Linked DNA regions of Saccharomyces cerevisiae S288C. Changing the gene in region 4 together with the main gene of any one other region gives a genetic interaction. Each region holds a gene or a part of one and is shown on either strand. Other genes may lie near its edges. The genes, in order: CDC60, RIT1, LHP1 and LOS1.

The links.
Region 1: mutations in LOS1 (region 4) and CDC60 together harm fitness more than expected from each alone (negative genetic interaction), as found in Saccharomyces cerevisiae (3 studies listed by BioGRID).
Region 2: mutations in LOS1 (region 4) and RIT1 together harm fitness more than expected from each alone (negative genetic interaction), as found in Saccharomyces cerevisiae (5 studies listed by BioGRID, with this or other methods).
Region 3: mutations in LOS1 (region 4) and LHP1 together harm fitness more than expected from each alone (negative genetic interaction), as found in Saccharomyces cerevisiae (4 studies listed by BioGRID, with this or other methods).

What each region holds. Positions count from the first base shown.
Region 1 is NC_001148.4:244,612-251,688, forward strand, and holds CDC60 (leucine--tRNA ligase CDC60), read left to right. Parts: upstream 1-2,378; coding exon 2,379-5,651; downstream 5,652-7,077. Other genes in the region: BEM4 (Bem4p), read right to left, coding at 1-1,609; PET20 (Pet20p), read right to left, coding at 6,296-7,057.
Region 2 is NC_001145.3:834,409-839,490, reverse strand, and holds RIT1 (tRNA A64-2'-O-ribosylphosphate transferase), read left to right. Parts: upstream 1-2,623; coding exon 2,624-4,165; downstream 4,166-5,082. Other genes in the region: ATP-dependent DNA helicase YKU70, read right to left, coding at 1-1,304; AEP2 (Aep2p), read left to right, coding at 4,393-5,082. UniProt on the Saccharomyces cerevisiae protein: tRNA backbone modifying enzyme that mediates initiator/ elongator tRNA discrimination. This enzyme modifies exclusively the initiator tRNA in position 64 using 5'-phosphoribosyl-1'-pyrophosphate as the modification donor.
Region 3 is NC_001136.10:361,367-365,682, forward strand, and holds LHP1 (tRNA maturation protein LHP1), read left to right. Parts: upstream 1-2,585; coding exon 2,586-3,413; downstream 3,414-4,316. Other genes in the region: PBP4 (Pbp4p), read right to left, coding at 333-890; 1-acylglycerol-3-phosphate O-acyltransferase SLC1, read right to left, coding at 1,306-2,217; KNH1 (Knh1p), read right to left, coding at 3,702-4,316.
Region 4 is NC_001143.9:48,361-55,213, forward strand, and holds LOS1 (Ran GTPase-binding protein LOS1), read left to right. Parts: upstream 1-1,690; coding exon 1,691-4,993; downstream 4,994-6,853. Other genes in the region: ER membrane complex subunit EMC3, read left to right, coding at 1-595; ADD66 (Add66p), read right to left, coding at 646-1,449; EAP1 (Eap1p), read left to right, coding at 5,344-6,853. UniProt on the Saccharomyces cerevisiae protein: tRNA nucleus export receptor which facilitates tRNA translocation across the nuclear pore complex. Preferentially interacts with tRNAs with mature 5'- and 3'-termini and does not distinguish between intron-containing and spliced tRNAs.

The DNA.
Region 1 (7,077 bases), on a different chromosome or scaffold from region 4:
TTAGTTGTTCTGCTTGACCTAAATTTTGGAATTTGAAGATCGAATCCCATAGGGATGTAATAGCTTCTTTAGGAAGGGCTTTCTTGGACACAAGCAGCTTATCCATCGCAATACAGGACGTTAACGTTCCATGCTCTGCTATAAAAGAGATAATTGTTGGATCACTGCTTATTGAATTGTGTATTTTTGAACTTGGAAGCACCGTTAAAGTTTTGTTTAATAAATTTGTTAATAACGATCTCAGGTTGTTATAATATTTAGTTTGCTCGTGACATCTTCTCATAATCTGAAATAGGGTGAAGAGGTCCTTGATATCTAGCCACATGGTATTTTCCAGATTTAACAGCTTCCTCAGTAAATCTAGGAATCCTTGATATTGTAGTGGGTCTTGTAGCAAGCTACCAACTTGAATCAATTCACTAAGAGATATGAGCTTCAGTAGCGCGACAGCGTCACTTTTGGATGCAACTGAGTTACATAATATCATCAAAGCTGCGGCTAGGGCATAACTACTTGCGGAACTCTTAATAGTTTCGATACATAATGATTGCTCTCGTTTGTTAGAGTTTGTTAGGTTGGCGGAGATGTTGCCTGCGCACGATATGAGTCTTCTCATTACAATTAGCTTATTATTGAAGGTTTTTGATTCTAAGCAAACTAAGGACAATATTAAATTTTTTTGCATGCTTAGCACAAGCTGCTCCTCATTGGTAAAGTTTATAGTTTCATCCTTGGCTACAATAGTTTCAAGACATGTTGACAGATTTAATAGCAATTCACAATTAACGTCCTCCTCATCATCTTCTTCCTCTTTTTCGATGTACTCTTGATTTCCTTGGCCAGCGAACTTCTGAGTTTCAGTATTTGAATATGCTTCGACTGCTCCATCTTCCATTGCCTGCAATTCTTTATTTTGCACATTTGAAGAGATTTTTTTGATGTACTGGCTTAAGAAAAAGAGATCGCTTATTTGAACATTTGAGTAATTGACTTTTAAAATATCGTTCAATAAATCTGAACCTAAAACAACTTTTTCGGGAGATGACAAATAGCTATATTGTGTGGTTTTCAACAAAACAAATAATGGACCTCTAATGAAGGGAGCCAAATTTTCTGTATACTTGAGATTTCCAATGCAAAAATTCCTTAGTAGCACAACTGACCGCATCTGTAATTTATCCACTAAGCTATCCTCACTCTTGTCAGAAGAAATTTCGTCCAGCTGAAGAACCCCGCCTATATAATAATTAAGAAGCTTTTTACCTCCAGAATCCAAGAGAATTTCCCGATTATCATCATTATCAATTATTGCGTTAGCGATACATCTAATCACTTCAGAACTGATCTCATAAAACGCTATTTTATCATTAATTGAAATGCTCGTATCATGAAAGCAGATATCAAGCGCTTGTTCTAATACTCTTACTAGGTTCAGTAGCAGCCCAGTTTTACCAACAATATCTCTATTACTTGGTTCTCTCAACGAAACAGCCAATTGGTCCATTACCGCTAGGTAGCTTCCTAAGTAGACATCGTTCATCGGAACATCCTTTATTGAAGACGCATTGAGGATCGGTTGCAGACCAAATAAAATTTCTTCGTAATCCATTTAGTAGGACAGTTATTTTCACTTGAAACCACAATCTTTTGGGGCTGAAATATAGATGAGGTGATTTGTTATTCGCGGTTAGTTTTAGTTCGCGAGTGACCTGCTTACGTTGTCTTCAGCCATTTTACGTTGCTTGGCTTGCCGCCGGCGGGTAATATGATCTTATTTTGACATGGTTAAAGAAAAATACTTTTGACTAAGTACCTTTATCACAAGAAAGTTTAGGAAGGGATTCACTATTTGAAGATCAGACAAATGAGTATACGATATTGGCTCAATATTTTAGCCGAGTTTGCTTAAACTTAGTGGCAGAACTTTAGTCATGGGAAGACAAGAACGATCTTACGAGGCCCTTAGGACCTCGGCGGCTAACAGTAAAACTGGTAACTGACGGACAAGGAATATCAAGGTCATATTTTGAAAAGGTCTTTTTGGGTGACTACTTGGGTAAGAAATAATTAGACGAAGTTTCTTTCTGATGTGTATTGAACTAGTGCTCGTGCTTACATACACATCGCCCATTATTGCCTATAGTTATCCTCACTTTATACGAGGTCTGGCCGTTAACGGTTCTTTTACATTGAAAAACTAAATCAGTCACCCACGCAAATAATGAAAAAAAAAAAAAAATCAAAAGCGAAAAGAAACCTAACGCATATTCTATTCAAACGTTGAATGATTGTATTATTATAAATCATAATCACGTAAAGCCACCGAAATTTTTTTCCAGAGTGAAGAATATAAAAAAAATATCTTTAACCAGTCTATAATGTCTTCTGGTTTGGTCTTAGAAAACACGGCACGTAGAGATGCGTTAATCGCCATCGAAAAGAAGTACCAAAAAATATGGGCTGAAGAGCACCAATTTGAAATCGATGCGCCATCAATCGAAGATGAGCCCATTACAATGGACTCTGAAGAGTTACATCGCACGTATCCTAAATTCATGTCGTCTATGGCCTATCCTTATATGAACGGTGTTATGCACGCCGGCCATTGTTTTACTCTCTCCAAAGTCGAATTTTCTATTGGTTTTGAAAGGATGAACGGTAAAAGAGCTTTGTTTCCATTGGGTTTTCACTGTACAGGTATGCCAATCTTAGCATGTGCCGATAAACTAAAGAGGGAAGCCGAACTTTTTGGCAAGAACTTCGACAATGTACCAGCAGAAGAAGAAGAAATTAAAGAAGAAACGCCGGCTGAGAAAGACCACGAGGATGTTACCAAATTCAAAGCTAAAAAATCTAAAGCCGCAGCCAAGAAGGGCCGTGGTAAGTACCAATTCGAAATCATGTTACAGCTTGGTATCCCTAGAGAAGAAATCATTAAGTTCGCCGACGCCAAGTACTGGTTGACCTATTTCCCACCTTTGTGTGAAAGTGATTGTACTTCACTTGGGGCTCGTATCGATTGGAGACGTTCTTTTGTCACCACTGATGCCAATCCTTATTACGATGCCTTTATTAGATGGCAAATGAACAAGTTAAAGGCTGCTGGTAAAATCAAATTCGGTGAACGTTATACTATTTACTCTGAAAAAGATGGTCAAGCTTGTATGGATCACGATAGACAATCCGGTGAAGGTGTTACACCACAAGAATATATTGGTGTGAAAATTGAAGCTTTAGAGTTCGCCGATGATGCCGCAAAAATCATTGATTCAAGCTCAGATCTTGACAAATCCAAAAAATTCTACTTTGTCGCTGCCACGTTGAGACCGGAAACTATGTATGGACAAACATGTTGTTTTGTTTCTCCAACAATTGAGTATGGTATATTTGACGCTGGTGATTCTTATTTTATCACTACTGAACGTGCATTCAAGAACATGTCTTACCAAAAGCTAACACCAAAGAGAGGCTTCTACAAGCCGATAGTTACTGTCCCAGGTAAGGCATTTATCGGTACCAAGATTCATGCCCCACAATCTGTATATCCAGAACTAAGAATATTGCCTATGGAAACTGTCATTGCTACCAAGGGTACTGGTGTCGTCACGTGTGTACCATCTAATTCACCAGATGACTACATTACCACCAAGGACTTGTTGCACAAACCTGAATACTACGGCATTAAACCTGAATGGATTGACCATGAAATTGTTCCAATTATGCATACCGAAAAGTATGGTGATTTAACTGCAAAGGCTATTGTTGAAGAAAAAAAAATTCAATCTCCAAAGGATAAGAACTTGTTAGCAGAAGCCAAGAAAATTGCTTACAAGGAAGATTACTACACTGGTACCATGATATATGGTCCTTATAAAGGTGAGAAGGTCGAACAAGCCAAAAACAAGGTTAAGGCTGATATGATTGCCGCCGGTGAAGCTTTCGTCTACAACGAACCAGAATCTCAGGTCATGTCACGTTCTGGTGATGACTGTATCGTTTCTTTGGAAGATCAATGGTACGTTGATTACGGTGAAGAAAGTTGGAAGAAACAAGCAATTGAATGTTTGGAAGGGATGCAATTATTTGCTCCTGAGGTAAAAAACGCATTTGAAGGTGTTTTGGATTGGTTGAAAAACTGGGCTGTTTGCCGTACATACGGGTTAGGTACCAGATTGCCTTGGGATGAAAAATACTTAGTTGAGTCTTTATCAGACTCTACTATTTATCAATCATTTTATACCATTGCTCACTTACTATTTAAGGATTATTATGGTAACGAAATTGGACCATTAGGCATTTCAGCTGATCAAATGACAGATGAGGTTTTCGATTACATTTTCCAACATCAGGATGATGTCAAGAACACCAATATTCCTTTGCCTGCTTTACAAAAGTTGAGAAGGGAATTTGAGTATTTCTACCCATTAGACGTCTCAATTTCCGGGAAGGATTTGATCCCTAACCATTTAACTTTCTTCATTTACACACATGTTGCATTATTCCCAAAGAAATTCTGGCCTAAAGGTATCAGAGCTAACGGTCATTTGATGTTAAACAATTCTAAAATGTCGAAATCTACAGGTAATTTTATGACTTTAGAACAAACGGTTGAAAAGTTCGGTGCTGATGCAGCTCGTATTGCGTTTGCCGATGCGGGAGATACTGTTGAAGATGCAAATTTTGACGAATCTAACGCTAATGCTGCTATTCTGAGATTATTCAATTTGAAGGAGTGGGCAGAAGAAATTACCAAGGAATCTAACTTGAGAACTGGGGAAATTACAGATTTCTTTGATATCGCGTTTGAACACGAAATGAATGCTCTGATTGAAAAGACTTATGAACAGTATGCATTGACTAATTATAAGAATGCCTTGAAATACGGTCTTTTTGATTTCCAAGCTGCTAGGGATTACTATCGTGAAGCTAGTGGTGTAATGCATAAAGATTTAATTGCACGTTATATTGAAACACAAGCCTTATTGCTGGCTCCAATTGCGCCTCATTTCGCTGAGTATATTTACCGTGAAGTTCTAGGTAACCAAACCTCTGTACAAAATGCCAAATTTCCACGTGCATCCAAACCAGTAGATAAGGGTGTTCTGGCTGCTTTGGATTACTTGAGAAATCTACAGAGAAGCATAAGAGAAGGCGAAGGGCAAGCACTAAAAAAGAAGAAGGGCAAGTCTGCTGAAATCGATGCATCCAAACCTGTTAAGTTGACTTTATTGATCTCTGAATCATTTCCAGAATGGCAATCACAATGCGTGGAAATCGTCCGTAAACTATTCAGCGAACAGACTTTAGACGATAACAAAAAGGTCAGAGAGCATATTGAGCCTAAAGAAATGAAGAGAGCTATGCCATTCATTTCTCTATTGAAACAACGTTTAGCTAATGAAAAGCCAGAGGATGTGTTTGAAAGAGAGTTACAATTCAGCGAAATCGATACTGTCAAGGCTGCTGCAAGGAATGTTAAGAAGGCAGCACAAGCTTTGAAAATTGCTGAATTTAGCGCAATTTCTTTCCCATATGGCGCCAAAACCGGTAAGGATATCTTTACTGGTGAAGAAGTTGAAATTCCACCTGTAACAAAGATTGTTGAAAATGCTGTTCCAGGTAACCCAGGTGTTGTCTTCCAAAATATTTAAAGGAGAATATTTCAAGATGCCTCATGGTGATTTTCCGATAAAAGATACAAGAAATTCTCATAGAAATACTTATAAAGATCAATAAACAGCAACCAGAAATCACGTCGCATTGATAATTTGCCTCGTATATATCGTATAATTATTGTAATTGCACAACTGTTTTTGTTTTGTATTCGTTCATTTTCTTGTAAAATGTTTCCACATTTTCTTGTGGAGGATATGTATATTGATTCTTTACTTATTCGTGTTATTTTAGCTGCAAATATCTGGGTTTGAGGGCTATTTGACTAGTCTAGAGAAAAGTAGTCGTGAGAAAACTATATTAGATAGATGGATGAGAGGAGCAGGTCAATAAGTAAAAGAATAATAAATAAATATATAAAAATATACATGTAAAAAAGGTGTTCTAAATGAATGATAAAGTTTATGAATGTAATATACTCTAAGGATGTAAGAAAAAAACCGTTGCGTATGTATAATAAACAGGTCTATGATGTTAAAAGATGAAAAGGCCTAATAAAGTGAACAGAACCGGAAGAAACTAAAAATAAATAAAACCCAAGTAACCACGTACAAAAAGCACATTGATGCTAAGAAGATCTCCCTGCTAGGAAAACAGAAATCAGAATGAAACGTTTCAATAATCATCCCTCAAGTTTTTTCTTCATTTGGAGCAACGTCACTACTGACTTTTTTCTCCCCTTTCCTCTTCTCTTTGAAAATTCATCCATTTTCCGCTGAAGCGTCTCACTTGTTTTATTGTCAACTAATGTATTTCTCTTAGCACTTACATGAATAAGCTCATTTGTGTTCATTGATTTTTCCTTAGGTGGATGAAAAGGCTTCAAATTTTTCAGTAGTTCACTAGGTATATTCTCCCACTCTGAAAAGAATTCAAGTCCAGTGGCAGAGGAAATCCATGGTGATAGAGGTTCATTTAAATCTTCAAGCTTCATCGCAAATTCGTATAACGTACTTCCGGTGTCTTCCTTTAGCTTCGGGTCATTGGGATTGATGAATAAGGGTCTATATCCAGAATAGAGTACATTTGTGGTCATGTCACTCTGCTTTAAATGTGAGGTGGATGGTACTCTTGGTAGCCACGAAAAATCGCTTCTTTTCTTTTTTAAATGAGAACCTCTCACATCGCTATGTTCTTTCTTTGTGATTGTCTTGTTTTGCTTTATAAGTGGTGCAGTATGTTCGTGTTCCGGGGGTTGACGATGGTACGCTGCCTTTTTACTGCCCTTTTTTCTTTTGGATTTCATTTGATTTTTAGATAGTAAAGACTGGTTACTTAAGAACGTAAAGGAAGACTGAAATCTTCTAGAAGTGAGAACTATTCCTGAAGAAATGGCATTGTTCCTTGATAAAGGCGGAATAAATGGACGAGCTAGCTTCAACATAGTTTATCGTCCGACTTTGC
Region 2 (5,082 bases), on a different chromosome or scaffold from region 4:
GAGGGTGATAACGTATATAGTGAAGGATGTGAATTTGATTTAAGCTTCCCCCATAATATTGCAATTTTATCTTTTTTTCTCAAAATTTTTAATAAAGAAGCCAAGGTTCTTATCGAACCTTCATATTTTGCTTCATCTGGTACGATAAACGAACTTTTGTCTATGTTATTGAAATAGTGTATCGATTTGCTCGATGAACGGAACCCAATAATCTTCAAAAACGCATCTTTTTGAGTATAAGCCTCCATTACTATCTGATCTTGACTATCTGATAGATTGATATCGAGGTCACCATAAGGATAAACCTTGACAGTTTTACCAGTAACGTCTTCTCCTGTTATAGGATTTAAAAATTTTCTTTTTGAATATGCTTCTTGTCTGATATCTTCATGCTCATAAACAAGTTTATACCTGACTCCAGCTTTTTCATGGGTATACATAGTGTAACCCTTGACTCCGACTATAAAATTTGTTTTCTCATCCAAGATTAATGGACATTGAAACATTATCCTCTTTACCTCCTTTTTCCTTAGGATTCTGGACTTGATGTATTTAGCATCTATAGGCTTTGTACTTGGACCATCAAATTCAGAATCCAAACCAGTATTCTCATTTGTATGTGAACCCAACTGCAGTATGTCCGAATAAAACTCGTTGTCAAATGGTTTATCGGCATAGCCAATAAAAAAAGTTGCAAAATTCACTTTGTTATCAAATAAATCAATTGTAAGCCTTCTCAATCTTGCCCGTTCATCGATATCTTGCGCCTCTTGTGGTTTATCAATGTCAGTGAATAAGAACACTCTCTTGTTGCTTAATTGCTTTTGACCCGGAATCTCTTCCAAAAAAGTGTCAAGCATGAATGTGAATAATACAGATAAGCGCACTTGCTTTTCACTCCCAGTTTGTTGAAACATAAAATAGTCGTATAGGCTTATTCTCCCCGATGATAAATCTTCTAAAAGATCGTTCAATTTCTTCATAAATGTAGCATTTATATCCCTTAATGGAAAAAGTTCATAGATACCTTCCTTGGCATCCTCTCTGTTACAGTAATAAAAATAGCAACCAATAGCTGTCCCAGGTCTTGTTATGACCAATTGTGACATTAGCTCATCTAGTGATTCCAGAATTTCCAACAATGGTGATTTATACTCTAGATCAGAGGACTCTTTAAACATTGTCTCTGATAGTTCAATGCAAAACAAAATTCCTTCATGGATATCAAACTTCCTATAACCTGTTTCATCCACTTGATCGTTAAGTTCTCCACTATTGCCAAATGCATTAGTGACTGAGCGCATAATATTCCCGTTTTAAAATCAGGCTTAGAGTCACTTAACAAATCATAGCTTTACTGTTGAAAACTAGAACAGTAATACAGAGAATGTCATTTGGTAGCTACCTTAAAGCAATCCCTAATACATGAAATTGAGAATCTTCAAAAATTAAGGTAATCAAAAGTAAAAAAATATCTCCCGGGGGCGAGTCGAACGCCCGATCTCAAGATTTCGTAGTGGTAAATTACAGTCTTGCGCCTTAAACCAACTTGGCTACCGAGAGTCAATTAACTGATAACCATTCAATTATGAGTCCGTCTAATATCATGCTTATTCACAATTTTAATATAAGCAACCTTGCAGAAGTGACCTGTTGTCAAAACGGAATATCAACTTGATTGAGGGGATGATAATTATCCTATATATTCTATAAATATGGATTATACTGAATATTGGGTGAATAATTTGATAATTGTTGGGATTGCATTGTTGATCAAGGCTATATAATATTATGTACACAGAATATATTAGAAGTTCTCCTCGAGGATAGAAATCTCAAAATGGAATCTATATTTCTACATAATAAAATTACGATTATTCCTCATTCCGTTTATATGTTTCATTATCCTATTACATTATCAATCCTTGCACTTCAGCTTCCATTATACTTGATAACTATTTCTCAATCCTTATTTTATGTTTTTCCACCGCATATTATAATATGCCAGTAATATTTATTCTTATTAATGGTCGTTAATTTCACACCAGGCGTGTTTATAACTGAGTAATCACTTTAAATTTGAGCATCCGGTTTTGCACCGTTAATAGTATCATTGTTAATTAGTAGGCAGGTTGTAGTATATTCTAAGAATAAAACAGGTGCCCTTAATCTGTACAAGAGAAGAGTATGAAATATGAATTACATTGGGCATATCGACTATACGCAATATATCAGTAGCTTCGACGATTTAGGTAGGTATAAGGGTTTCCTATACCTGTATACACAAATTTCAAACTTATGGCCGAGCCAGATAGTCCTTTAGCTATGCCTTCCATTACTTCTTGGAAAGCTTGTTGCATTTCCCGTCATATTATGTACGGTTACAACTTTTTTGTTGATTTCCATGCCCGAAGGGAGCTTAGCATAGCCGCTATTACATAATCTTATCATCTTCATCAAAAATGAACTTCTAAAATCATCCCACCACTCTATTGCTCTTCATATATGCGTTGTATGTTTATGTGCTTTGTTCTTATTACTGCTTAACTGTGACTGGGCCCATTATTCATTGTTCATATGCAGGAAAAAAAAAGCATGCTTGAAAATTTTGATCTCTTGATGGATGGTATCGAGGCTATCAAAGAGATATAGATCCAGAGTACAGTTTAGTATATCCGTGATGGATGAAAATATTTATCTTTCGCTATCTCAGATAAATAAAGACATCAGAAAGGAAAACAAGTCCGTAAGGAATCGACTTCAGAGTATTCTTTTAGACAATAAATTTTTGCAAGATCGAGTTATCCCTATATTTCCCCATTATCCACTGATACCCAATGAAAGATGTGGGCTATGGTACTGTAATCCATCAAGTTTCAAACAGACCAGTTACTTTAAGAGCACAGACGGGCATGTCAACCAATGGGACTTTAGCACCCGAAGATTGAACTTTCATTTGTTAGAGACCATTCGAGATAATAAAGGTATTATAATTGTCGATAGTACTAGAAGAGGTAAAAAAATCCCAGATGCTTTGAGTAAGACTGTCCCCATATGGTGTGCTGTATTAAATACGTTAATGCTTCAGGAAACAGAAAAAAATGTTGCCATCGATAAGGTACTGTATCTTCCACCTGAGACAGTTCCCAAATCAGAATATGACATGATTAAGCGAAAAATACCCGAACTAGTTGCTAAACTACAAAAATTGAATATTATAGATTCTAAGAAATTGAACGAACTGTTTATGGGTAAGTTATTGCGGCCCATATGGGTTCACCCTGGTTCTTCACTTCTAGACCATTCTGTTGATTACTTCACGGGTGAAGTACAGGAGTATGAAGCCTGGGAAACACCTGAAGACCAAAACATAATACCCATTATTTTGTGCACGGTAAGCTATCAAGCACAAGATGGTATGGATAAAAGATACGGCTTCACTTATGTGCAGGGTGCAGCCGACGATCACGAGCTCTGGTCTTTTGGTTTGGATTCAAATATGTTTTGGGCCCATATAGAATACCTAGGCGACGCAAGTTATTCAGACGACCAGTTACATGATTACATCATGGATTTGGCTGCTGCAAAGCTGAGAAATCAGTGTTATATACAAGATAAAGGAAGCTTGGATGAAGTCTTTGGAAACATTGATAAAATTACGAATGAGATATCTCTAGGAAAAGTGAGTTCAGGCTTAACCATCAATAAGAATTTGAAACAGAAATTGAAGTCAGAATATGGTAAAGTTATAATTTTCAGTAATTCGGTGACTGTTGCTGAAGATACAGACGATGAAGAAGAAAGTGGGACAGATCCGTTTATTTCAATATACAAGTTGCAAAGCGGAGACAAGAAAAGTTCAAAAGCTTTACGATCCACATTCCCTAGAATCCATGGAGAAATTCAATCGTTGTTTACAAATCGAGATGAAAAAATAAAGCCAATGCTAATATGCTGCAATACAGGTACTGATATGTCAATCGGTGTCATCTTAAGTATCCTTTGTACCAAATATACTGAAGAATGGATGCTTACGTCGGAGTTACCGGACATCAGTAAGCTTATTGTAAGAAAACACTTGACAAAATTGATTTCCCACTTGAAAGGACGCAACGTTAACCCTTCAAGAGCAACACTGAACAGCGTCAATAGCTTTTTAATGTAGTGAGTTAGGCAATACTGAGATGTTTACTCGCAATGTCACTGTATATTTTAATATCAAATAACGTCAGTTTTTATTAGAAAAAGAGCGGGTTACCGTTTATCCTGAACAGAAAAGGTTCATTGAAAAAGAGCCCTTCAGACATTGGCTAATGAAAAGAATATGTAAAATCAAGAACAAATTAACGAAGCTCTCCTTCGTTAACAGTCCACTACCTAAATTTATGATTAATGTGGATAAATAGACTGGTTAAACATCCATCCTACAGTGTTCTGAGGTTTTACACGAAGAGGCTCTGCACTGTATCAGTGAAATCGCTGCGTGAATTTGGTGTACTGCCGAATAGCACAATATGTCATTCTGTCTATCCCCGAAGAACGTATGTAATGGGTAGGGCTGTCATAAATGATATTTTAATCAAAAAATCCTATTCAACTCACACGGTATGTGCAATTGATCGATCAAAAGATGAAAATAATGGGAGCGCTTATGACAAATTCGAGGCAAAAGGTATACCTATAGATGTTCACACATTAAAACGAATTATCAGCTCGAGTGGAATGGATGAATCCGAATTTTCCAAGAGTATAAGTTACTTATTCGCGAAAACCGTGGACCCTGAACCGAAGGATGTTCTGTCTTTAGAGGACCTGTCTTTTCTTTTGAGCAAACTATACACACAACGGTTTCAAATTAGGAGAATCTGTAGAGACATAAACGCTAAATATTCAGAATTTTGGTTCAAACTTTTTTCCTTATATGCAGAAAAAGTTGATGCCAAGAGAAACCAAGTTAACTTACGGAATACGAAACTAGATGCATGTGAAATATTTGATGCAAATCTTATGATCAAGAACTTTATAGAGCTCGGTCAATTAGGTAAGGCTCAAAAAATTTTAAGCTTTATTCTTGATAGAAAT
Region 3 (4,316 bases), on a different chromosome or scaffold from region 4:
TGAGTAGCGGTCTCTGTTATCTTGTATTTACACTGTATAATAGTTTTTCTTGTAGGGCAAAAAGAAAGGTACTAATTTCCGAACGATGCGAAAAGCCGCTAGCATCGGAAAGGCTAAGTGAACTATGCAATAAAGACTAAGAGAAAAAGCAAAGAAAGGCGTCTTAACACAGTATACATTTTTCGACATTATGAATTATAAAATTTTTATTTACGCTTGTAAAATAATATTTTCATTTCTTCTATTTTCCTCTTTTCTTCGTTTTCTTGACTTCATACTTCATTTTTTGTTTGACTCCTTTTTGCGTTATGAAACGTGATGCTTCGATATTCTCATTGGTTTCTTAAAACTTTAGCAATATCGGACAAACAGCCGTATTTTTTATTCTTATTTTTACTGCTTGATACAGTACCCCAGTCAGTGGCTGTTGAAACTCTGCCACTTGCCGTTTCTGATAGTACTTGCTTATAAGTTTTCATTGAATGACTTTTTTCACCAGCGGTATAGCTCTGAAATAATTTGTGCATATACGATCTAACTTCTTCTCTATTGTAAGGTTGTTTATTCGCTCTTTTAAATTTCTTATTTGTGGATGATCCATTGGCGGTGGAACTACCCTTTATATTAGCAGGCGGCGCGGTAGATGCGATGGTTTTAGTCTTCGTATTAGCAGGTTGTACAGCCACGGAATCATCTTTTCGTGCCTGCTGTTGCTGTTGCTGTTGCCTTGGAAGGGCTTTGGCAGCTGCCTGCGCCCAACCTGTTAATTTTGGCTTCTGAGGAAGCACAGCGGGCGTTGGACCATTTGAATTTGGACCTGAAGCAGATAAAGTAGCCTTCAAAGTCGAGGAGGTTCTGCCATCTACACTGGTTGTTGAGGTTGTTGTCATTTCGTACTAGATTAAAGGGAAAATTGTATCGTAAATAAGTAATAAAGTTAATGAAAATTCGGAAACAAAAATGGATAGATATTAAACAGTGAACAAATGAAAAATTTCAGAAAAAAAGAATTAAAAAAAAAAAGGGAAAAAATATGCACAAGATCGTATTATTTGTTGTTCCTCGTATTTTTCTTTCTATTTAGTCTCACATTTTTGACACATGCCTGGTGTTATATATACATTACAATGGAAAGTTCTTTTCTCTTTCTCCGAATAAAGTAGCGGTCTATTGATCACTTCTTACGCTGGGTATATGAGTCGTAATAAATAAAATCATCAGAATCATTCGTAAGTCATTTTACTTTTTTAAAAAGATAATTACAGTTTTTGGGTCTATATACTACTCTAAAAATGTGGTGGTGGCTTAATGCATCTTTTTTACAGATGAACCTTCGTTATGGGTATTGACATCGTTGCTAATGCTGACAGAAGGCACAGGCTCATTCTTGATTTTCTTGTTCACTTTCTTGTCATGTTGAAGAGCGGCATACTCAATAGCTTGTGGTGGGAGGGTTGTATCGTTGATGGCGGGAGAGTAGCCAATCTCCTTCAAAGTGTCAACCATTTGATCTCTAACTTTTTCAGCAAATTCACCAATTTTGTCCTTTGTTAAGTTCTCGGTTGAAATAGGTTTTAAAATTCTAACAATCATACAGCCTCTGTTGAAGACCCCATATTTAGGACTTACTAAAGTACTGGTATTGGAAACAACCACTGGAACAATGGGGATCTTACCCTGTTGTGCCAAATGGAAAGCACCCTTCTTGAAAGGCAACATTGTCAGCTCACTCGTGTAAGACCTGGTACCCTCAGGAAAAACCCATAGAGCACGCTTGTTTTTCTTAACATTTTCTAAACCTTTATTCAAGGTGTCAATGGCTTCTTGCCTTTTAGATCTGTCTAAGAAATATGTACCACTCAAAGCCATGAACCAACCCAGAAAGGGGACGTATTTCAAAGACTTCTTGGCAGTAACTGTGCAACCAGGGGGGAAAATCCTACCTAACATGAAGATATCCAAGGTGGATTGGTGATTGGCAATCATAATATATGGCTTCTTGGCCAAATTCTCCTCGCCAACGACCTTGACGTCAAGGCCAAGCATCAATTTCATGACATGGTAAAAACAACGCGCAGTAATCCACTGAGCCAAATGTTGCTTACCGATTAACGTGCAAAGGATAGAGGCGATTACACCGTAAAAGCCACAGCCTGCAAGCGCCAGTACGACCAACACGGACCTCAAGTAATACAAGAACCTACCTATCACACTCATTATTTTTTTGCTCGAATTCACTGACGGAGGGAAACCACTAAACTTCTCTATTGAAGAATTCCCCCTTCACCTTAAACCCTTCCTAATATAAGTATTTTGAACACCATACCATATTCTCAACAAAACAAAGGAAGCATAATTGATATCATCATTCACGAGATCCATCTCGTGACCGTGAAAAAATTTTCGTCTTCGTCTTAGTGTAATGTGTTCAGCCCAACCTCATCGCAATATCTCAAGATTTTTGAATTACAACCAAATCAAAAGCACAGAGTCGCATCTCATCGCTATGATGTATTTTTTTCTTTTTCCAAAAAATGGGTTCTATTTGGTTCTACTGGAACTAAAGTAGCATCTGCAAAGAAGTAATGTCTGAAAAACCACAACAAGAGGAGCAAGAGAAACCACAATCAAGACGTAATTCATTTGCTGTGATTGAATTTACTCCAGAAGTCTTGGACAGATGTTTAAAGCAAGTGGAATTCTACTTTTCTGAATTCAACTTTCCATATGACAGGTTCTTGCGCACAACAGCGGAAAAAAACGATGGATGGGTCCCCATCAGCACCATCGCCACATTCAACCGTATGAAGAAATATAGACCAGTGGATAAGGTTATCGAAGCACTACGTAGTTCTGAAATTTTGGAAGTATCTGCTGATGGAGAGAACGTCAAGAGACGTGTTCCTTTGGACCTAACTGCTGCCAGAAATGCCAGAATTGAGCAAAACCAACGGACTTTGGCTGTAATGAATTTCCCACATGAGGACGTTGAAGCTTCCCAAATTCCTGAATTGCAGGAGAACTTGGAAGCCTTTTTCAAAAAATTAGGTGAAATCAACCAAGTGCGTTTGAGAAGAGATCACAGAAACAAGAAATTTAATGGTACGGTCTTGGTGGAATTTAAGACAATTCCAGAATGTGAAGCTTTTTTGAAATCGTATTCCAATGACGATGAGTCCAACGAAATTTTGTCATATGAAGGTAAGAAACTGAGTGTTTTGACGAAAAAACAGTTTGATTTACAGAGAGAGGCCTCGAAGTCCAAAAACTTCAGCGGTAGATCAAGATCCTTTAACGGCCATAAGAAGAAAAACTTGCCTAAATTCCCCAAAAATAAGAAGAAAAACGGCAAGGAAGAGTCAAAAGAGGACTCTTCTGCCATTGCCGATGACGATGAGGAGCACAAGGAGTGATTCTTGTGTTTCTTCTGGTTCTCGTATCTCATTATCATAGCATATTAAGAATATATGTACTAACATATGTACTAAACAGAAACACAATATGAATTACAACTAATACTATATTATTTGTCTCCTTTTTTTATTAGTATTAAAAATTACCGTTACTGGTTAAAATGGAATACAGCTCATCCATTTAAAAAAAAAAAAAAATAGAATAACAATAATTAAGCAGAAAAAATGTTAACGAATATAATAAATCGATTTGTCCATTTTCATAAATTTTTTTTTTGTATTATTTCATTATCTGTGCCTCAAAGCATTAACTTTTCTTGCAGTCAGAGAGAGTCTCTTGCGTGGATTATACCAACCGCCATTATCAGCCGGCATAGGGGCCGGCGTAGCATAGTTACTATCAGCTGTAATTATGTATGACCACCCTGGTGTTACGGTAGTATGTTGATCAACGGAGTTTCTTAAAGTGTAGTAATACGTTACCTCACTGGTCGCGTACTTCCTTTTCCATGTCTTTGCTGTTACCTTAGTAGCCGGTTGGAGTTGCATGGGAGCATATTTCACAACACCTGTTTGTAAGTTGTAGGGAACGGTGAAACTCTTAGAATCAATCGTGGCACCCACATCTCCTGTGGTAATTCTTGTTTGTGCCTCTGGTGCAATGGTTATCATACTCGGATTAGCGGCTTTTGTACCAATCATCCCTTTTAGTTTAAATCTGTTAGTGTAATGAATGGTGTAACCGATAGCTGTTTGCGCAAAGACTTGTATGAAGTAAACACCGTCCGTCCCAACGGTGTTTTCTATTATCGCATTGAACTCGTTGTCTGTCAGATCACTCGCACTGAGTGTTTGAAGAGTAGCCATTGCTTCTATCATGGCATTGGTACCCGAACACAGAGT
Region 4 (6,853 bases):
ACAATTATTGATTGGAAACGGTGGGAACCTGTCTTCCGATGCATTTGCTGCGAAGAAGGAATTTCTAGTTAAGGATCTCACTGAGGAAAGGCACCTAGCCAAGGCCAAGCAGCAGGATGGTTCGCAAGCTGGAGAGGTTCCTAATCCCTTCAACGATCCAAGTATGTCTAATGCTATGATGAACATGGCTAAGGGTAATATGGCCAGTTTCATCCCTCAAACTATTATTATGTGGTGGGTGAACCATTTTTTTGCTGGATTTATTCTTATGCAACTACCTTTCCCTTTGACTGCCAAATTCAAAGAGATGTTACAGACCGGTATTATCTGTCAGGACCTGGATGTGAGATGGGTTAGCTCCATTTCATGGTATTTTATTTCTGTGCTCGGGCTAAATCCAGTCTACAACCTGATTGGGTTAAACGATCAGGACATGGGTATTCAGGCCGGGATAGGTGGCCCTCAGGGCCCCCAAGGCCCTCCACAATCACAGGTTGACAAAGCAATGCATGCGATGGCTAACGATTTGACTATCATTCAGCATGAGACTTGTCTTGATAACGTTGAGCAAAGGGTTTTGAAACAGTATATGTAAGTTCGTGGCTATATATGCACTTGTATAGAAAACAGATATACTTCTCGGTTTCAATTGTATAAATCTACAAATTTATCTCTTGCATCCGCCATTCCGTATGCACCTTGCCATGATATAGGCCTGACAAACTTTACAATTGGTGGCGCGTTTTTGATAACTTTTTGAGAGATTATCCATTGTAAGAACTGTTGAGAATCTAATGAGTTGTCCCCCTCATTGGCCAAACAACTACAGTACTTAATGCTGCGGAGGGCTTTAGGCCTCTGCGACGCATTCAGTATTTGGAAAAGTATTTTGAAGATCGGCTGATCAACGGATATCTTGTCTTGGAAACTGGTAGGAGTAAAATGTAACCAGTTATTGACCATCGACTCTTGATCGTTTAGATGGAGGTTCGATAAAAGCTCAGCTTCATCGTCGAAATAAAACTCTCCGAGCGAATATACCTCCTGTGGACGTACAATCACACCATTTTCATCCTCCATTGCATATAGAGAGTCCCAAATGCATATTTCCGATATATTATACTTGCTCAAGAACGGCAAGATGATCTCTACGATGAAATTATTCAGATAGTTAACGGACACGAGTGGTGTTCGTTGCTGTATGGCAAAAAGTCCTCGCTTCTTATTGTAGAAAACTTCCAAAGCGCTGCTATACTTCATATCAGCGTCTTTATATAGCGAGTCGCTACCATCCTCTGGTCTGTCTAATGGTCCCACAAATTCCACTAGGTATTTCGAATCTAACGCCTCCAAATATTCCCATTCATTTGCTTGTGAATTCAGCAGCCAGTCAATACTCAATTGTGGTATATTCCCTACGCTTACTAATGGCAACACCAGGCAGCTCATCGTATGTTCCTTTGGGTTTTGTGCTATTCTTTCCTGAAGTTTTAATTTAATTTCCTTATTTTAGTGTAGGTGGCTTTTTTTTTAGCAGGTTACTCATTGTGGGATCATTTTCAGGCTCAAAGCGAAAAATTGAAAAATTAGCTAACAAAAAAAAACTAAAATTTTTTCAAATTCCATCAGTTAGTTTGAGAAGTTGTCGGTAAGCAACCTATAGAACAAGTGTTTCCAGTCAAATCGAGGAATGCTAGAACGGATTCAGCAGCTGGTAAATGCAGTGAACGATCCACGCTCAGATGTGGCCACTAAGAGACAAGCCATCGAGCTGCTAAATGGGATTAAATCATCAGAGAATGCATTGGAAATCTTTATATCATTGGTCATCAACGAGAATTCAAATGATTTGTTGAAGTTTTACGGACTGTCCACATTGATAGAATTGATGACGGAGGGCGTGAACGCTAATCCAAATGGTTTGAATCTGGTAAAGTTTGAAATAACCAAATGGCTCAAATTTCAAGTTTTGGGCAATAAGCAAACTAAGCTGCCTGACTTTTTAATGAATAAGATTTCTGAAGTGCTGACTACTTTGTTTATGTTAATGTACAGTGATTGTAATGGAAACCAGTGGAACAGTTTTTTTGACGATCTGATGAGTCTATTCCAAGTGGATTCGGCTATTTCCAATACGAGCCCGTCTACCGATGGTAACATTCTTCTAGGTCTTGAATTTTTTAACAAGCTCTGTTTGATGATTAATTCGGAGATTGCTGACCAAAGCTTTATTAGGTCTAAGGAATCTCAGTTAAAAAATAACAATATAAAAGATTGGATGCGTGATAACGATATCATGAAATTGAGTAATGTGTGGTTTCAGTGTTTAAAACTGGACGAACAAATTGTGTCACAATGTCCCGGATTGATCAATTCTACCTTGGATTGTATTGGGAGTTTTATCTCATGGATCGATATTAATTTAATTATTGATGCAAATAATTATTATCTGCAATTAATCTATAAATTTTTAAATCTTAAAGAAACCAAAATTTCATGTTATAATTGCATACTGGCCATCATCTCTAAAAAAATGAAACCAATGGACAAACTGGCTTTTCTGAATATGATCAATTTGACCAACGAATTGACTTACTATCATCAAGCCATATCAATGAATCCCCAAATTATTACATTTGATAATTTAGAAGTCTGGGAAAGTTTGACCAAGTTGATTACTTCCTTTGGCATAGAATTTACTATCATTATTGAACAAGTCAACGATGATCAAAAATTGGATACATTATACAAACAATCGGTCATTTCAAATGTTGATTCCATATTATTGGAGAAAATAATACCAATACTTTTGGAATTTATGAATAATGAGTTTGATTCAATAACAGCAAAAACCTTCCCATTCTGGTCAAATTATCTGGCTTTCTTGAAAAAATATAAAGCATCTTCACCAAATTTTGTACCATTGCATAAGGATTTTCTAGATAATTTCCAACAAATTTGCTTTAAAAGAATGAAGTTTTCAGACGACGAGGTCACACAGGATGATTTTGAGGAATTCAACGAAACCGTAAGATTTAAATTAAAAAATTTCCAGGAGATCATCGTGGTAATTGACCCAAGTCTGTTTTTAAATAACATTTCTCAAGAAATTTCAGCAAACCTAATGAATTGTAAAAACGAAAGCTGGCAAATTTTCGAGCTAACTATTTATCAAATCTTCAATTTAAGTGAATGTACCAAGAACAACTATTTCGGTTTGAACAAGAATGAAATTATGACCTCACAACCTTCGCTAACTTTAGTACGATTTTTAAATGAATTGTTAATGATGAAGGATTTCTTATTAGCCATTGATAACGAACAAATCCAAATACTATTCATGGAATTAATTGTGAAAAACTACAATTTCATATTTTCAACTAGTGCTAACACAGCAAATGCTACTGATGATGATGAAAAGTATCTATTAATATTGAATATTTTCATGAGCTCATTTGCTATGTTCAATAAAAGAGAAAACGTCAGACTAAGGTCATGGTATTTATTTACAAGATTCTTGAAGTTGACAAGAATCAATTTGAAAAAAATCCTCTTTGCCAACAAAAATTTGGTTAATGAAATAACTAATAAGATAAGTCCTCTACTTCACATAAAAGTAACATCTATCAACGCCCAAGGGACGGATGACAATGATACAATTTTTGATAATCAGTTGTACATATTTGAGGGTATTGGGTTTATAATCACATTGAATAATAGCAGTCAGGAGCTCACTGCTGCCACTGCCAACACCCCCATCGATTACGATATATTGGACCAGATATTAACTCCGCTATTTACACAATTAGAGGGTTGTATTACCCAAGGAGCTTCGCCAGTTGTGATTCTGGAATGTCATCACATTCTTATGGCTATTGGTACTTTAGCGAGAGGTTTGCACATTGGTCTCGTCCCTGAGAATCAGGTCAACAATATGGTTGTCAACAAAAAATTAATCAATGACTCTTTAATCCATAAATTCTCTAATATAGCTGAGGTTATATTAGTAACATTCTCTTTTTTCAATAAGTTCGAAAATATCCGCGATGCATCTAGGTTTACCTTTGCCAGGTTAATTCCAATTTTAAGTAATAAAATTTTACCATTTATCAATAAATTGATTGAATTGATCTTATCGTCCACAGATTTAAAATCATGGGAGATGATTGATTTTCTTGGGTTCTTATCTCAACTGATTCATATGTTTCACACGGACACAGACTGTTATCAGCTGTTTAACCAGTTACTTACTCCGCTTATCAACAAAGTCCATTCTATTATCGAAGAGATTGATGAACAACACGACCAACAATCAAGCAGTAACAAACCTATAGACACTGCAGTCACAGCCACCTCCGTAAATAAGAATATCGTGGTCACCGATTCGTATAGAGATAAAATACTATTGAAAAAGGCTTACTGCACATTTTTACAGTCATTTACTAATAATTCCGTCACTTCGATACTATTGTCAGATATAAACAGAGCAATCCTGCCGGTCATATTAAACGATTTGGTCACCTATACGCCGCAAGAGATCCAGGAAACATCAATGATGAAAGTGTCACTCAATGTATTGTGCAATTTTATCAAATGTTTTGGGAATGGGACCTGCTTGGATAATGACGACATCAATAAAGATCCCAACCTTAAAATAGATGGTCTCAACGAATACTTCATCATGAAATGTGTCCCAATAATCTTTGAAATTCCGTTCAATCCAATATACAAGTTCAATATCAAAGAAGGGAATTTCAAAACAATGGCATATGATTTGGCAAGATTACTGAGGGAGCTATTTATCGTCAGCAGCAACCCCACCACAAATGAGAATGAATGTGTAAAATATTTAACTCAGATCTACCTTCCACAAATCCAATTACCACAGGAATTGACGATTCAGTTGGTTAATATGTTAACCACAATGGGTCAAAAGCAATTCGAAAAATGGTTTGTAGATAATTTCATTTCTGTTTTAAAGCAAGGTCAATAGCTTTCAGGCGCAGAAAACCTGAAAATAAAAAAAAAATGCAAAACGAGAGTAAAAGTTGTAATTATATTTATACTAATATTTAAATTGGTAATATGTAATTAGACTTATCATTCACTTTGGTTTAGCAGCTAGTCATGTAATGGCACTAAAAGTGCTTCTTTATCTATTATTTATACGTGACATACCATTACTTCTATGTATTACGTAAAGAATGACAAACGTTTAGTTTTTTTAATTTCAAAGAAATCGTTGGAAGGTTCAAAAAGGATCAGGTGAGATATTAGAGTATATGAATGTTTCAGTCTCTAAGCTACACAAAGAACTAGCATAGTAGGACTTTAACCCATACAATGGAACTCAACGACCCTTCAATTATATCAAGCAGCCAGTTTTCAGGTGAATTGTCTGACAGCGATACTGCAGCCGCTACTCACAAATCGCAACAAGCCATCTCAAATTTATTCCAAAAATTAGCCAAAAAGGGCAGAGAAGAGAAGCCAATCGGTAGCGTAGAATCTTCAACTGATAGCTCTAACATTTCTGTTGCTACGAGCGGTAACAATAAAGAAAGCAATAAAAAAAAAAATAAGAAAACGGCCATGCTAAATTTCAGCAGTTTGACGGACCCTATAACGAACTACAAACCAATGGATCTGCAATACAAGACATATGCATACTCCATGAATGAACTTTATCATTTGAAACCATCTTTGGCAAGTGCTTCGTACGAAGAAGACCCACTTATTTCGGAACTTGTGAGGAGTTTACCCAAAAGAAAGTTTTGGCGATTGCGCATGGGACCTCCAGATCAAAAGCATGCTAATAACCATCATTTTAATGGGAACAATGGTGGAGGCAGTTGGAAGGCTGGTTACAAGAATGGGAAAAACGATGAGAGAAGAATGAGTAGAACCAAAAACATGCAGGGAGGCAAACGAAGATCTCAACAAGATGATGAAGAAAAAAAGATTGACCAAGAAATGCTGGAGATGGACAAGAATCTTCAATTAGGAGGTGACGTCGGCCATTCAATTGCAGATTTTGAAGATTGGAAGGCAAAGATGAAAGAATTAGAATTGAAAAAACTTTCAAAATCTAAAGGAATCAGTAACTCTACCGCAATTGCTCCCAGGGAAAGCGCCTCTCATGAAACACCCACCGATTTAAGACCGGTCATTCCAAGGGGCCCTAGTTCAATAACAGATTTTTTGAATTTAAAGAGGCAAGATAAGAAGGAAGAATCTTCACAACAAACACCTGGTATTCCTGTTGGACAGCCAAGCCTATCCAAAACCAGTATAGAACAAGTTAACGAATTAGAAACTAATTCAGATTTGGGTAAAAGTTCATCATCTCGGTTTTCATCATTTTTCAATAAATCTGCCACTTCGTTGCCTTCATTAGATAATAATAATCAAGTGCCATCGTCAAACGTGTCTGTAGTAAACAACGATGGCAACAGTACACCTCATCAAAGTGGTTCAAGACTGATGTCGTTTTTCAAAGAATCTAGATCGAGCACTCCAAATGCAGAATCGCAGTTGTTATCAGCCTCAGACAAAGATAATGGAAAGATGCAGACTCTTCCGCAATTCCAGCAGCAACCGCAACAAATGCAACCAATGGCATTTACCCAGCATCCTCCTAATAACAACGCATTTTTCAATGGGCTATTGAATAAAGGTAAAAGTGAAACTAGTACTCCTCCTCCTCCACCCCCAGGACTAATTGCTCATCAGGGTCCACAATTTCCTGTGATGGGTGTACCACCAAATTTTCCACAACGCATGATGCCACCGCCACCAGGTCTCGTTCAATTCCAGAAAGATTCTAAAGATGTAAATAAGAAGGAAGACAGGC